Notamacropus eugenii: one gene and its partners. The protein of the gene in region 2 interacts with the protein of the main gene of each other region in a pairwise test. Links are inferred from orthologs where the notes say so. Each region holds a gene or a part of one and is shown on either strand. Other genes may lie near its edges.

The links.
Region 1: the proteins of DVL3 (region 2) and PITX1 interact in binary tests that used the Homo sapiens proteins (3 or more experiments, as listed by UniProt). The two-hybrid records come from large-scale screens. The link is inferred for Notamacropus eugenii from reciprocal best matches to the Homo sapiens genes DVL3 and PITX1.
Region 3: the proteins of DVL3 (region 2) and CSNK1D interact in binary tests that used the Homo sapiens proteins (3 or more experiments, as listed by UniProt). The two-hybrid records come from large-scale screens. The link is inferred for Notamacropus eugenii from reciprocal best matches to the Homo sapiens genes DVL3 and CSNK1D.

The regions. Positions count from the first base shown.
Region 1 is NC_092872.1:339,788,903-339,792,646, reverse strand, and holds the start of PITX1 (pituitary homeobox 1), read right to left. Parts: upstream 2,390-3,744; 5' UTR 2,235-2,389; intron 1-2,234. UniProt on the Homo sapiens protein: Sequence-specific transcription factor that binds gene promoters and activates their transcription. May play a role in the development of anterior structures, and in particular, the brain and facies and in specifying the identity or structure of hindlimb.
Region 2 is NC_092873.1:57,206,506-57,210,249, reverse strand, and holds the start of DVL3 (segment polarity protein dishevelled homolog DVL-3), read left to right. Parts: upstream 1-1,487; 5' UTR 1,488-1,630; coding exon 1,631-1,791; intron 1,792-3,744. UniProt on the Homo sapiens protein: Involved in the signal transduction pathway mediated by multiple Wnt genes.
Region 3 is NC_092873.1:327,097,485-327,101,228, forward strand, and holds the start of CSNK1D (casein kinase I), read right to left. Parts: upstream 2,172-3,744; 5' UTR 1,834-2,171; coding exon 1,758-1,833; intron 1-1,757. UniProt on the Homo sapiens protein: Essential serine/threonine-protein kinase that regulates diverse cellular growth and survival processes including Wnt signaling, DNA repair and circadian rhythms. It can phosphorylate a large number of proteins.

The DNA of each region.
Region 1 (3,744 bases), on a different chromosome or scaffold from region 2:
ATCTGGATGCCAGTAGCTTACAGTCCCGAGTTCAGACTTGACCGGGAGAGCCATTGAGAAGTTGGCGATTCTCTCTTCTGTACAGCCAGCTCTTTATTTGGCGGCGACCAGTCCTTGTTCTCCCCGAAGAGAGTGCAAAAAGAAAGGAACAGAGCTTTTCCCTCCATCCCCTCTCCACCCTCCTTTCCCTGTCTCTCCACTTTAGAGAGTAGGAAACCAAGGCCCAGTGAACAAGAACCAAAGGTCTGGAGCAAAGCAGACAGGGTGAAGGTTAAACCTTGGACCCCAGCCCCTCCAATTTAGACCCATAACCTCACAGCTCAGCCTAGGGAAACTGGTATTTGGTTTTAAGGATCTAAGGACATTTTTTTCTATTTAAAAAATAAAAAGCAGATTGTATTTTCCCCACTGAACCAGATATGAAAGTTTGTGCACTCCCTTATTCTTCCCCAATTCTCCCCAGACTTTGAGTATTAGGAGCATAGTTTTGGGAAAAAAGATAGAGCCCTTCCCTCCTCCAACTTAGGTCCCCGCCTCGGGCGTCAATGCAAGGCCATAGGCTTGGCCACTGTCCCTCTGAAAGGAAAGGGGGCATAGACACATAGCCACAGGCCCATACAATTTCGCCTTTTCTTCTTATAGAGCACCCTGCCTCTTTTCTCTTTAGGCAACGAAGTGCCCTTGAGAGTACGCTCTCTTTTCCCCGACCCCCGCCAAAGGACACCTGCAGGTTAAGCCTCAGCACTAGGTGGGTGAGCGGCTGAATTGCAGAGGCTAAGGCAGGGCAAAACGTTCGCTTTTCCCGGGATCCCTTTAAGGCGCTGGATCAAGTGGCTACTGCAGCCTGTAAAAGCCCAGCAAACGCTGTCCATAAAAGTATAACATTTACTAGATACGTTAAAATTGGCTACTTGTCACAGCGACCAATTTTTCTTCCTCTCCACTCTCCCTCCCCTCTCTCCCCAGCCCCCCTACAGCTGGCTTCCTTTCCTGGATCCCCCACTCCCCATCCTATCAGCTAGCACTTTGGGTAAGGGTGAACGTGTCTGGGGTCGGCCAAGCCCTCTTCCTCCTCTTCCTACCTACAGTTCCCACTCGTCCGCGTGCCCCCCGCCCCCAACTCTCCCCACCCAGGCACCGCCGGTCTCGGGCCCCGGACGGCTTTTTTCTTTGGGATGAAATCGCCGCGTGTAAAGTGAGGTCAGCCCACTGGAATTAAATTTCCCAGCGCATTTGTCAGTTTTGACGAAGCGCAGAACTCCTAAAGAATTTACACGAGGTATAAATTTGTCAAGGACTTAGGCTACGAAGCGAAGGCCGGCGGCACCCGGGGCATTCGGAACCTCGGGCAGAGGCAAGGAGGCTCTGCGACTGGGGAGGTGGGTCAGCAGAGTGCGGAACCCTGGACCATCCTGAGCGTCAGCGGCCCCCACAGTCCCAGGAAAAACACACAATCACATATAGATCCAGTTCTAAGCAACTCTCGATGTGCACACACACCGTGTAAGCCTTGCTCCCGCACCGAACTCGTCTGCTCAGCAGCGCGCTAGACTTTGACAGGCCCCCCCAAACGCACCCGGAACGCCAAGTATCAGTCAACCTTAAAAACTGCCTGGTTGGAGAGATCGTCCTTCCTATAACTCAGAGCCGCCCAAGTCAGACTCACAACGCACATCTGGAAAACAACTGGCCAAAGGCAAGACTTCCAGCACTGGACCCGGAAGAGGGAGAGTGTGTCTATTAGTCTGCCCAGCTTTTACCTCACATTTCCCGCCGCTCCCGGTTCCCTTCCACTTCTCTGCTCTGCTATGCCAACTGCTTCCGCGCCCCCTCTCCATTTCTGCTCCTTTCTCCGGAGGGCGGTCCTTCAAACAGTTAAAGCTCCTTTCTCGGCTGGCAGACAGGTCTGATCAGCCCTGGTATCAGGCCGGCCAGGGCCCGAAACACGGACTTAGGTGCCAGGAGGCCCCGGTTGGCAAAAACGGGGACTGAGGAAGGAGCAATATTAGCAGGAAGCGGCGTGGTTCTGGCTCGGGCAATTAGGGTTACCCAGAGTGGAGCGCTCTCAGGCTCTCAGTAGCCTAACGGGGAACAGCCGGGGCCACCGCCGGTGGGGAGTTCCCCTAGCCTCATCCCAAGCAACATCTCCCTCTGCTCCCTACCATTTGTCCCCCCCCAGGTCCCGTCCCTTCAACCTCCCTTTTCTGGTTCCCCAAAGCTGTGCTCTTACCCACCTTGGTGCTGGTCACTGTGGACTCAGGGGTTGGCGGCCGCAAACTCAAAGCTTAGAGCCCACAGCTCCAGGGTAGCCTCGACCCAGGCTCGCTCCTCCTGTTGCTTGGAGCCCACGAGGAGGGCGGGGGACGGGGCGGGGCAGGGACACAGGGCGGAGACGCTCGAAGCTGCGGTCCCGAGGGCGGAGAGAGGGGGTTCAAGAGCTGGGGGGTCTGGGGCACAGAGGGAACCCTAAACTTGAGAGTCACGGCGGGCAGACGGAGCCTGGGGTATGAATGAGGGGAACAATGATTTAGCAGTCACTCCAAGAGGACTAAGCTGCTGTGGGGACTCGTGTATACTTGCGTGCGTGCGTGTGTGTGTGTGTGTGTGTGTGTGTATGTGTGTGTGCGTGTGTGTGTGCTGGGGCCCAGGATCAGATTGTCAGCCTAGCTCTAAGCTCCAAACCCTACAGGTTGTGTATATGTCTGAGGGGTGGTATTCCAGGGGGCACATAGACCCTCGGGGGTTGAAGTTTCGGATGCAGAGGGCAGATGCTCGTGGAGTCTTCCTTGGTGGCTCCTGGTGTCGGTCCGGGACCCGCTGCTCAGTCAGAGAGAGGAAGCGACAAGCACAGGCTGCCAGTCAAACCTGCTTGGGATAGGCGCGCCCTGCGGGGCGGCTCTGACCGGCTTTGGGCTCTGATTGTGCTTGTTAGTTTTGGACCCGGGCACTGACACTATTGAGGGGAAAGAGGGGATGAAGATGGTGTAGAACATTGGAAGTCAAAAGACCTGAGTTCGAGTGCTACTTTTGCTATTGACTCCTTTGTGTGTTCCTCGTAATGGTCATTTGCTTCACACTGCAAGCCATATCTGTAAAATGAAACAGGTTGGATTGCATTTAGTTCTTTCTAGGGTAACTTTAACATGCAAACAATTCATGCGGTGGTTCTGTGAATCCTTGACCCTCCTACTAGAATGAGAAGCAGGGACCTTGTTCCTTACTCCCTTCCAGCCCCAAATCCCAGCACAGATCAGTAGTAATAATAACTTACACTAATTTAGTGCTTTAAGGTTTTCACACAACTTGACGGATATCTTATTTGTTTCTCATAAGAGCTATGTGAGGTGAGTAACGTATTCTTCTTCTTCACATTTTACAGATGAGAAAACTGAGACCCATCGAAGTTAAATGAGTCACCCTGATCAGCTTCTGAATGACAAGGGTGGGAGTGGAATCTTGGTCTTCTGACTCAGAATGGAGAGCTCTTTTCACCATACCAGTATTTGACTGACAAATCCAAAATATTGTAAGGGCTTGCTGGGAAAGGGGAGATACAGAAAGACAGACTGTACCTTTCTTGGGTCCTGGGTCTGTAGCCTTCATTTCCTTAGCTTGTTTCCCTCATGGACATCTGTCCTCCTCTACTTCTTCCACCTCCTCCACCAAGAAAAACTCAGGGACTGAAGCTAGCTCCTATCTCAAAGCATACCCCAAAGATCAAGTATAATTAAGAACTGTATACTC
Region 2 (3,744 bases):
GCCTTAACTGGCTCTCGAGGTGTGGGGTGTGGAGGCAGCCCTCTTGGGTATCTGGGGGCGGTGATGGGGCTGGCTGTGGGCCTGGGGAGAAGCCTCCTTCCACCCCAGAGCTGTGGGGCTCGAAGCCTGGGCAGGGCCAGACAGAGGGGGTGGTCCTGTGTGAGACACCTTGTACTGCCTTTGGCACAGCCTGCTGGGCCTTCACGGGCAGTATCTGGTCAGGAGGGTAATGGTGATGAGTTATCATGGCTCGGCCTGCTGCAGCCAGCTGGGGGTTCTAAAGAGTAGCCCCTCCTGCCTCTCACAACCAGGAAACAAATAAATCTTGACTGTTCCATCCTTTCTAAGTACTACCTCTGCTTCCGGCAGCCTGTGAGGAGGACAAAGGAAAAATAGAACTGTGTCTGCCCTCCAGGAGGCTGTTAGGGCGGGATGAGACAGGAGCACAAATGACCAGCAGGGCCATTTAGCAGCAAGTAAATGGCAGAGGAAGGGGATTGATGATTGTTAAAGGTTCAGAGAGGGAGGGCTGCCCACTGAGGAAGCCTCTGAGTTCGGGGGAGGGGACAGCAGGAACAGGACTAAGCCAGGAAAATTTGCAAAAGTCCAAGGAGGACCTTGGAATCAAGTTCGCTTTCACAGAGTTCATAAGGCAATAATTTCTTGAGACACAAGATGGTGCTGAATACCTCAGGAAAGCAGCTGGGACAAGTGGTTGGACCCACACTGGCCAACTGTTAAGGCTTTAAGGAATTGTAACATTGGTGGAGGAGATGGAGAAGTTGGCTATGGCCTCTTTCCTGGCAGAATGCCCCTGCTGGCCTGATTCTTATCAAACACCGGATGGAAGACCTGACTGCCTGCTGGTCAGATGGCCACTGGTACTTTTTCTGAGCATCTCTTTTCTCATCTGTAAGATGAGGATTTGTACCTCGAGTGGAGGACAAGGCTTAGTTATGTTGACTAGGAAACCAAGTCTTCACCTCCTGATAGACCTCCCTTAGCCAGTTCCCCCCTTGTAAAGAGCTGGGCGGCAGCGCTCCTGGCCCATGACCGGGCTGCTCCGAGCTTGCCCTGGAAGGCCCCCCACCTTGAGATCGGAGGTGGGAACAGAACCCCTGGCCTTGGATTCGGAGGCAGTTGCCATGCCCCTGAGGAGCTGTGATTGCGGCTGGACTCGCGGCGGAAGGGCCCATCCCGGTCCGTCGGGTTCTAAGTCCATCCCCGGGTTCTCCCCTACACCCGGGGCCACCCCGAAGCCTCCGTGGGGCTCACAAAGACTCGGAGAGCGGCCAGGGCCGTGGAGGGCCACTCCCCTCGCCTTTAAAGAGCTGGGAAGCCGAGTCGTGGGGTCGGGGCGCAGCGGAGGGACAGTGACCGGAGAATCCCGGGGCGGGGCTGCTGAGGAGGAGGGCTGCCGGAAGAGGCACCAAAGCCAGGGAGATTGGGAGAGCGGAAGCTGGAGAGGGGGGAGGCGGGGAGGCGGCCGGGCGGCGCTGGGACCCGGGGGCGGCCGCAGAACAAGGGAGCCGCTGCCGCCGCGGCCCGGAGAGCGAGCCGCCGAGCGCAGCGCCGCGCAGGCATCGGAGCCCAGCGCTCCGGCCGGGTCCGAGGCCAGGGCGCCGGGACCATGGGGGAGACCAAGATCATCTACCACCTGGACGGCCAGGAGACGCCGTACCTGGTGAAGCTGCCCCTGCCCGCCGAGCGCGTCACCCTGGCCGACTTCAAGGGCGTCCTGCAGCGGCCCACCTACAAGTTCTTCTTCAAGTCTATGGACGACGACTTCGGGTGAGCGTGGGCGCCGAGCGGGGAGCCCGGGGGCAGGACAGCGCCGAGGGGCCTCCGCCCAGGCCTGGCCCGGGGGGTGGGGGGGGCGGTGCCCACCGGGCACCCGTGCCAGCTGGCTGCCAGGAGCAAAACTTCGGGCTGGTGGGCGGTGCCGCCGCCACCGCACCCCCAAAGTGGCGGCTCTTTGGGGTCCCAGGGTCAGGTCCGCGGGTCTCGGGGGCTCCTCCTCTCCAGGCTGCTCGGAGCCCTAAGGGGCGGGAGCCACCGGCGAGGAGGATCTCTTTTCTCCGGGAGGCCCGGCCGGGGCTCTCCCCCTTTCCCCTTCGGGGCCTACACTCTTGCTCTAAGCCAGCCCCAATGCCCAGCATGGGGTGGGGGGGGATTTAGAAGAGAGACTTTCCCTTTAAGAGGGGATGGAATGTTGGAGCGAATGTTGCTGCAGCCGGAAGGTTTTGTAGCAGCTGGCCTGGAGAGGCCCCCCTTTCCCTCCTCCCCCTCCCCCCCAGCTCCCCTGGGAATGGGGGAGGGGCTCCCACTCAATCTGGCAGGAGAAGGGACTGGGGGCTAGGCTAGGAGGCCCCGTGGGGGTGGCCTGATAGGCTGCCTCCTCCGCTCCCCCCGTCCCCAAGTCTGGTTCTCTCCTTTCTCCACCCGGGTCCTGCTTTGTGGAAGGGAAGACCTCGAATTATGGGGAGGGGGTCATTCACCGTCCAGCCAGCTTCTTCTTCCAGGCTGGCCCATCCCTTCGAACAGAGAGAATCACTGGAGATGATAATACATGTAAAGTGCTTGGCCGGATCTGCAGATGTCAGCTCCCAGTATTACGGTCCTGCCCTGGCCCAGGAGGTCTCCATTTCTTACCCCTCCAGTTCTCTTGACCCAGGCAGCAAGAGGAGCCAGCAAAGAGGGCACCTGGGAGAAGACAGCAGGGTCAGGACCTTCAGTGGAGTTTGACTAATTTGGCCACATAGACATTGAATTCACCAAACATTGATTAGGTGCCTACTGTCTGCCTGATACTAGGAAAACAAAGAAAAAAGGAGCCTGCCCCTGTCCTCAAGGGGCTTCTGTTCTGCTCTATAGAACGGCAGACAGTAAATGGTACAGATGCCTAAATATGTGAGGTCACTTGAGAAATTGAGGAAGGTCTTCAGCAGGTTAGATGGGATCCAGTAGGATGAATTCATGGGAAAGCATGAATGGATTGAGATTTGCATTAGTGGAGGAGCCAAGTGAATCAGTTAGTTCATGGATATGTTGGAGGGTTCTTGAGGAGGGATTCAGGAAGGCTTTACTGGAAGAACTTACTCTGAAAGGAGAGAAGAGTTTTAAAAGAGAAGAGGGAGGAGGGCATCTTAGAGATGGGGATAATTTGGACAAAAGCCCAGAGGTAGGAAATGGAGCTCGTAGGCCAGCTTGGTTGGTATGTAGTAGACAAGAAGGAGGGTAGCATTAAAGTCAAGATGAGGAGTTTGTCTTTTATTCTAATGGCAAGGGAAGGCTCATGAAGGTTTGTCATCATTGATTGGATTTGTGTTTTGGGGAACATGATTTTAGCACCTGCATGGGAAGGGAAGGCTCATGAAGGTTTGTCATCATTGATTGGATTTGTGTTTTGGGGAACATGATTTTAGCACCTGCATGGGATGACTAGGAAAGTGGGAGACAAAGATGATGAGGGCCTTTTGAGCGGGATTTTAAAAAAAGGGGGGGGACTGTTGTGGGAGATTTAGAGGTGGAATTGACTGGATATGTCCTAAAAGGAAGAGGGAAGATGGAGGCTGAATGTGAGCTAACCACACTGGGGGTGTAGAGGAATGGTAGAATCCTCAACAGAAAGAGGGAAGTTTGGGGAAGGGGAAGGCTTTGAAACACCAACTGGACTTCCAGGGTGACATGTCCCCATTGTTGATGGACACAATTTGTAGGAAAGAAGCCAAAGAGGAAAATGAG
Region 3 (3,744 bases), about 270 Mb from region 2:
GGTTGCTGTAGGAACTGTAACTGTGGAATTTCCGGACTTTTGACTAGTGTGTAGTTCTCCATTTCCACACTGCATTAGCGTTGTTTTGACATTTTCCCCCACGAGTACAAAACACATGGAGATTATTGAACACATGGGGATCCCAGAGAGAGCAGTAAGATGGGGCTGTAGAGTCTTCTGAAAGAGACATGGCCTTTGTTTATTTTTGGACAATACAGTGGAGAGGTAGCAAAAGCCCTACCCTATCCTCTCTAAAAAGCACAGACACAGTTACAGTAATCTGATCACCAGTCTCTTAGATCTTCACTGAAAATGCAAAGATTTCCTTTGGTGCACTGTGTTACACCATCCCAGGTAACTAAGAACACAGCTCTCTCAGATATTTACTTACTGGCAATTGCATTATAGCAAATATAGCCATCCATTACAATAAATACCCCCTTCATAATACCATATCTAAAAAAAAAATAAAACATAATAGTTATTTGAACTCAAATCCACAGCACTATTGACACAAAAATTTATTTCTTCATTCAGACTCTTAACCATATTAATTTCAGGAAGCAATATATTTCAAACTGTTCTAACTTTCAAGAGCTACTGCTGATTTCATCCCTTAATTTCAAAGCCAAAAGAAGCAATCTGGTATAAAGGAGAGAAATACGAATCCGGGAGTCAGAAATGGGTTTGAGTTCAAGCTCTATCATGAATAAGCTGTATGACCTTGAACGTGTAAAAAAACCTCTTCGAGGCCTCAGTTTCCTAAGCTATAAAAATGGGGGATGAGGAGCAGGAGAGATGGACTGCTTAAGGTAACTTCCATCTCTAACATTCTAATAAAACCCTAGGGTCGAAGTTCTGCTGATGAAATGTGAATTAACCTTCCCCTTGATGTTAAGATCTTTTCCAAAGAAATTATTTTGGAGACTCAAAAAGTCAGACCTAGAATCAGGAAAAAATTAGTATCAGACCTTCCATGACCCTCTAACCCCCAATCAGTTCGGGTTCCTGAGCCCTCAAGCCAATGATCTGGTCTCCTAGGGCAGGGCCAGAATCTGATTGGGGGAGGTGGGGGTGGGAAAAGGTGGGGAGTTGAGAACAGGATGGATGGATGGTCTGAGTGGTTAGAACCTAAAGCTGTTACACCAGGGGGTCTTAGATCTCCCCCAAGGATTCACCAGAGAAGCAAAATGATTCACTCTCAGAAGGGGCTAAAGTAATTACAAGCAACCAAACAGGACGCTGGAAAAAGTCTCACACCCTCCAGGCTCCCCGCTCTTTCCCCTCCCCCCGGCCATTAATTAGCTCATGGGGAAGGCAAACCCCAAAGGCCAGCCCAACCAGGTTTCCCAGGCAGGTGTCAGCTGCTCCAGGGGCTCGAGACTCGAGTTCGATTCCCCCGGAGAGCCGGAGATGGCCACCGAGGGGTATGAGGACCGAGCCCAGGCTGCGGCTCAACAAAGGTGCTGGGGTGGGGTGGGGTGTTTTGTCTGGGCTGAGGTACACCACAGTAATGGGGAAACCTGGGGCAGAGGGTAATGGGGGGAGAGCATCCCGGGGTGATGAAAGGCTATGATGGTCCAGGAAGACTGGCGGAAGCGACGAGAGGGCAGGAGCCGGGGGCGGGGGGGGGTGGCAATGCGGGGCTGGGGGGTGAAAGGAAGCCGAGTGTATGGGGGGGGCAGTATGGAAAGGGGGGTAGTTCGCTGCGGGAGCAGGGCCGGGGGGGGGGGAGGGGACTGGGCTTCAATCCTCACCAAGATAGATGTCTCCAAAGGAGCCGCTGCCGATCTTTCGGCCCAGCCGGTACCTGTTCCCAACTCTCAGCTCCATGACGGTGGTGGCTTCGGCTCCGGCCTGGTTCGCTCCCTCCCCTCCCGACCGCTTCCTGGGTCTGCGCTCCGGGGGAGGCGGCGCCGCTGCTGCCGCTAATGCGGGTCCGGCTCCCGGCTCCGCCCCCCTCACGGCCCCGCTTTCACCATCGCTTTCCGGCCGCCCCGCCGCTCCCAGCGCCTCAATATGGGGCGGATGGGACAGTCCGAGCGCCGCCGCCCCTGCTCCGGCCCCCGCCGGCCCCGTTCGCCCTCTCCCCACCACGGATGGACTCGGATCTTCCGGGCCTAAATCCCACTTCAGCCGCCTAAAGGAGCCGCCGCCATCGCGCTGTGACGTCACTTCCCCTAGCAACCCGGCGGGGCGGGGCCCGCGCTGCTCTGGGGACACCAGCGGGGCGGGGGCGGGGAGAGCGGAGTGTGAGGGCAAAGGCGGCCGGAGCCTGCGGCTGGGCGGGTGGGCTGGGGGTGAGAGCCTCCCTGGGCTTGTGTGGTGCGCCTGGCCCGATCGGTTTGGCCGTGGTCTCTTGGAGGACGTGTCAGTAGTGACTCACCTGGGGAAAGCCGAGCCTTACCTGTACATCAGCCCCCCCCGCCGCACCCCTAGGCAGTGACCCGTCCAGATCCCCCCCGTCCAGACCCCCCCGTCCACCTAACACTTCCTTTTCTAAACCAGCCCCCCTCTGCCATTGAGACCCTCTCCAAAGCCTCTGAAACAAACCCCCGAAATGGGGAGAGCCGAGGAGAAGGCTGGGGTCCCAGACCCCTTTGGCTCAGTTCTACCTGATCACCGCCCAGACGGCACTGGGGAAAGATTCTCGGGTTCGGGATCAGTTTCCCCCACCTCCTCGTGGGCCCAAAGGAGCCTGTGGCCCGAGCCTGTCCTCACCGGCCTCTCCGTGGTCAGGGCAGGGGCAGGACTGGAGGCAAACAAGCTGGGGAGAGGAAGCCCTGCAGAATGTCCACTTAGCCCTCTTCTTGTCCTGGGCAGCTGGAGGCAGGGGAAGAGGCGGTCTTTTAAGAGCCCAAGAAAGCAAAGACTTGGGGCCCTTGTCTTGGAGTCTCGGGAAAATGGGAGTTCTCAGCAGCCTTTGAAATCCATGGTGGAGAACTCTCTCTCTCTGTCTTTGTGTCTCTCTGTCTCTCCCTGTCTCTCTCTCTCTGTCCCTCTCTGTCTCACTCTCTGTCTCTCTCTCTCTCTCTGTCCCTCTCTCCCTCTCTGTCTCTCTCTCTGTCTCTCTGTCTCTCTCTCTCTGTTCCTCTCTCTCTCACCTAGACCTGTAGGATGAAAAATAGCCAAGCCTCACAAGAGAAAAAAACAAAAACAGAGAAAGGGTAAGGGAAGGTGTAGAGAAGGGATTTCAGTTGACAAAGGCCCTATAACTGTAATCCCTTATTACAAGAGATTCAAAATGTGGACGGCCCTTCTGAAGTATTCAGAGGAAGCCCACCGTCCAGTCTTTCTCCTTAATCTATACTGAATTGCTACCTACATCCAACTCCAAGCCTTACTGCTGACTGTCTTAGACTTTTGCACTAACATGCTTCACCTTGGAAGTTTACTTCACCTCTGGAATTCTCATACTGGAATTGCCCTCTGCCCACTTGAGCCTCTCCCTCTGGTTACCGGGTTGCTTTCTAAGCCTTCATTTTAAGAAGGATGCCCCAGTCAACCATGTCTTATTCCTCTTTAGGCTGTGCTTCTGACTTTCCCCAATTTTCCGTACCATTCCCCATCTCTTCCGGTGGGTACCCTTTCTCTCCCCTCCACTTCCTTCATGTTAGAAAGTAAGCTCCTTGAGAACAGGAAATATTTTTCTTTCTGAGAGCAAACACTTAAATGCTTGTTAACTTGACCACTGTATTTGGTTGCTGCTAAGATATTCCAGAAAGTTGATAACGGATAGCGGTT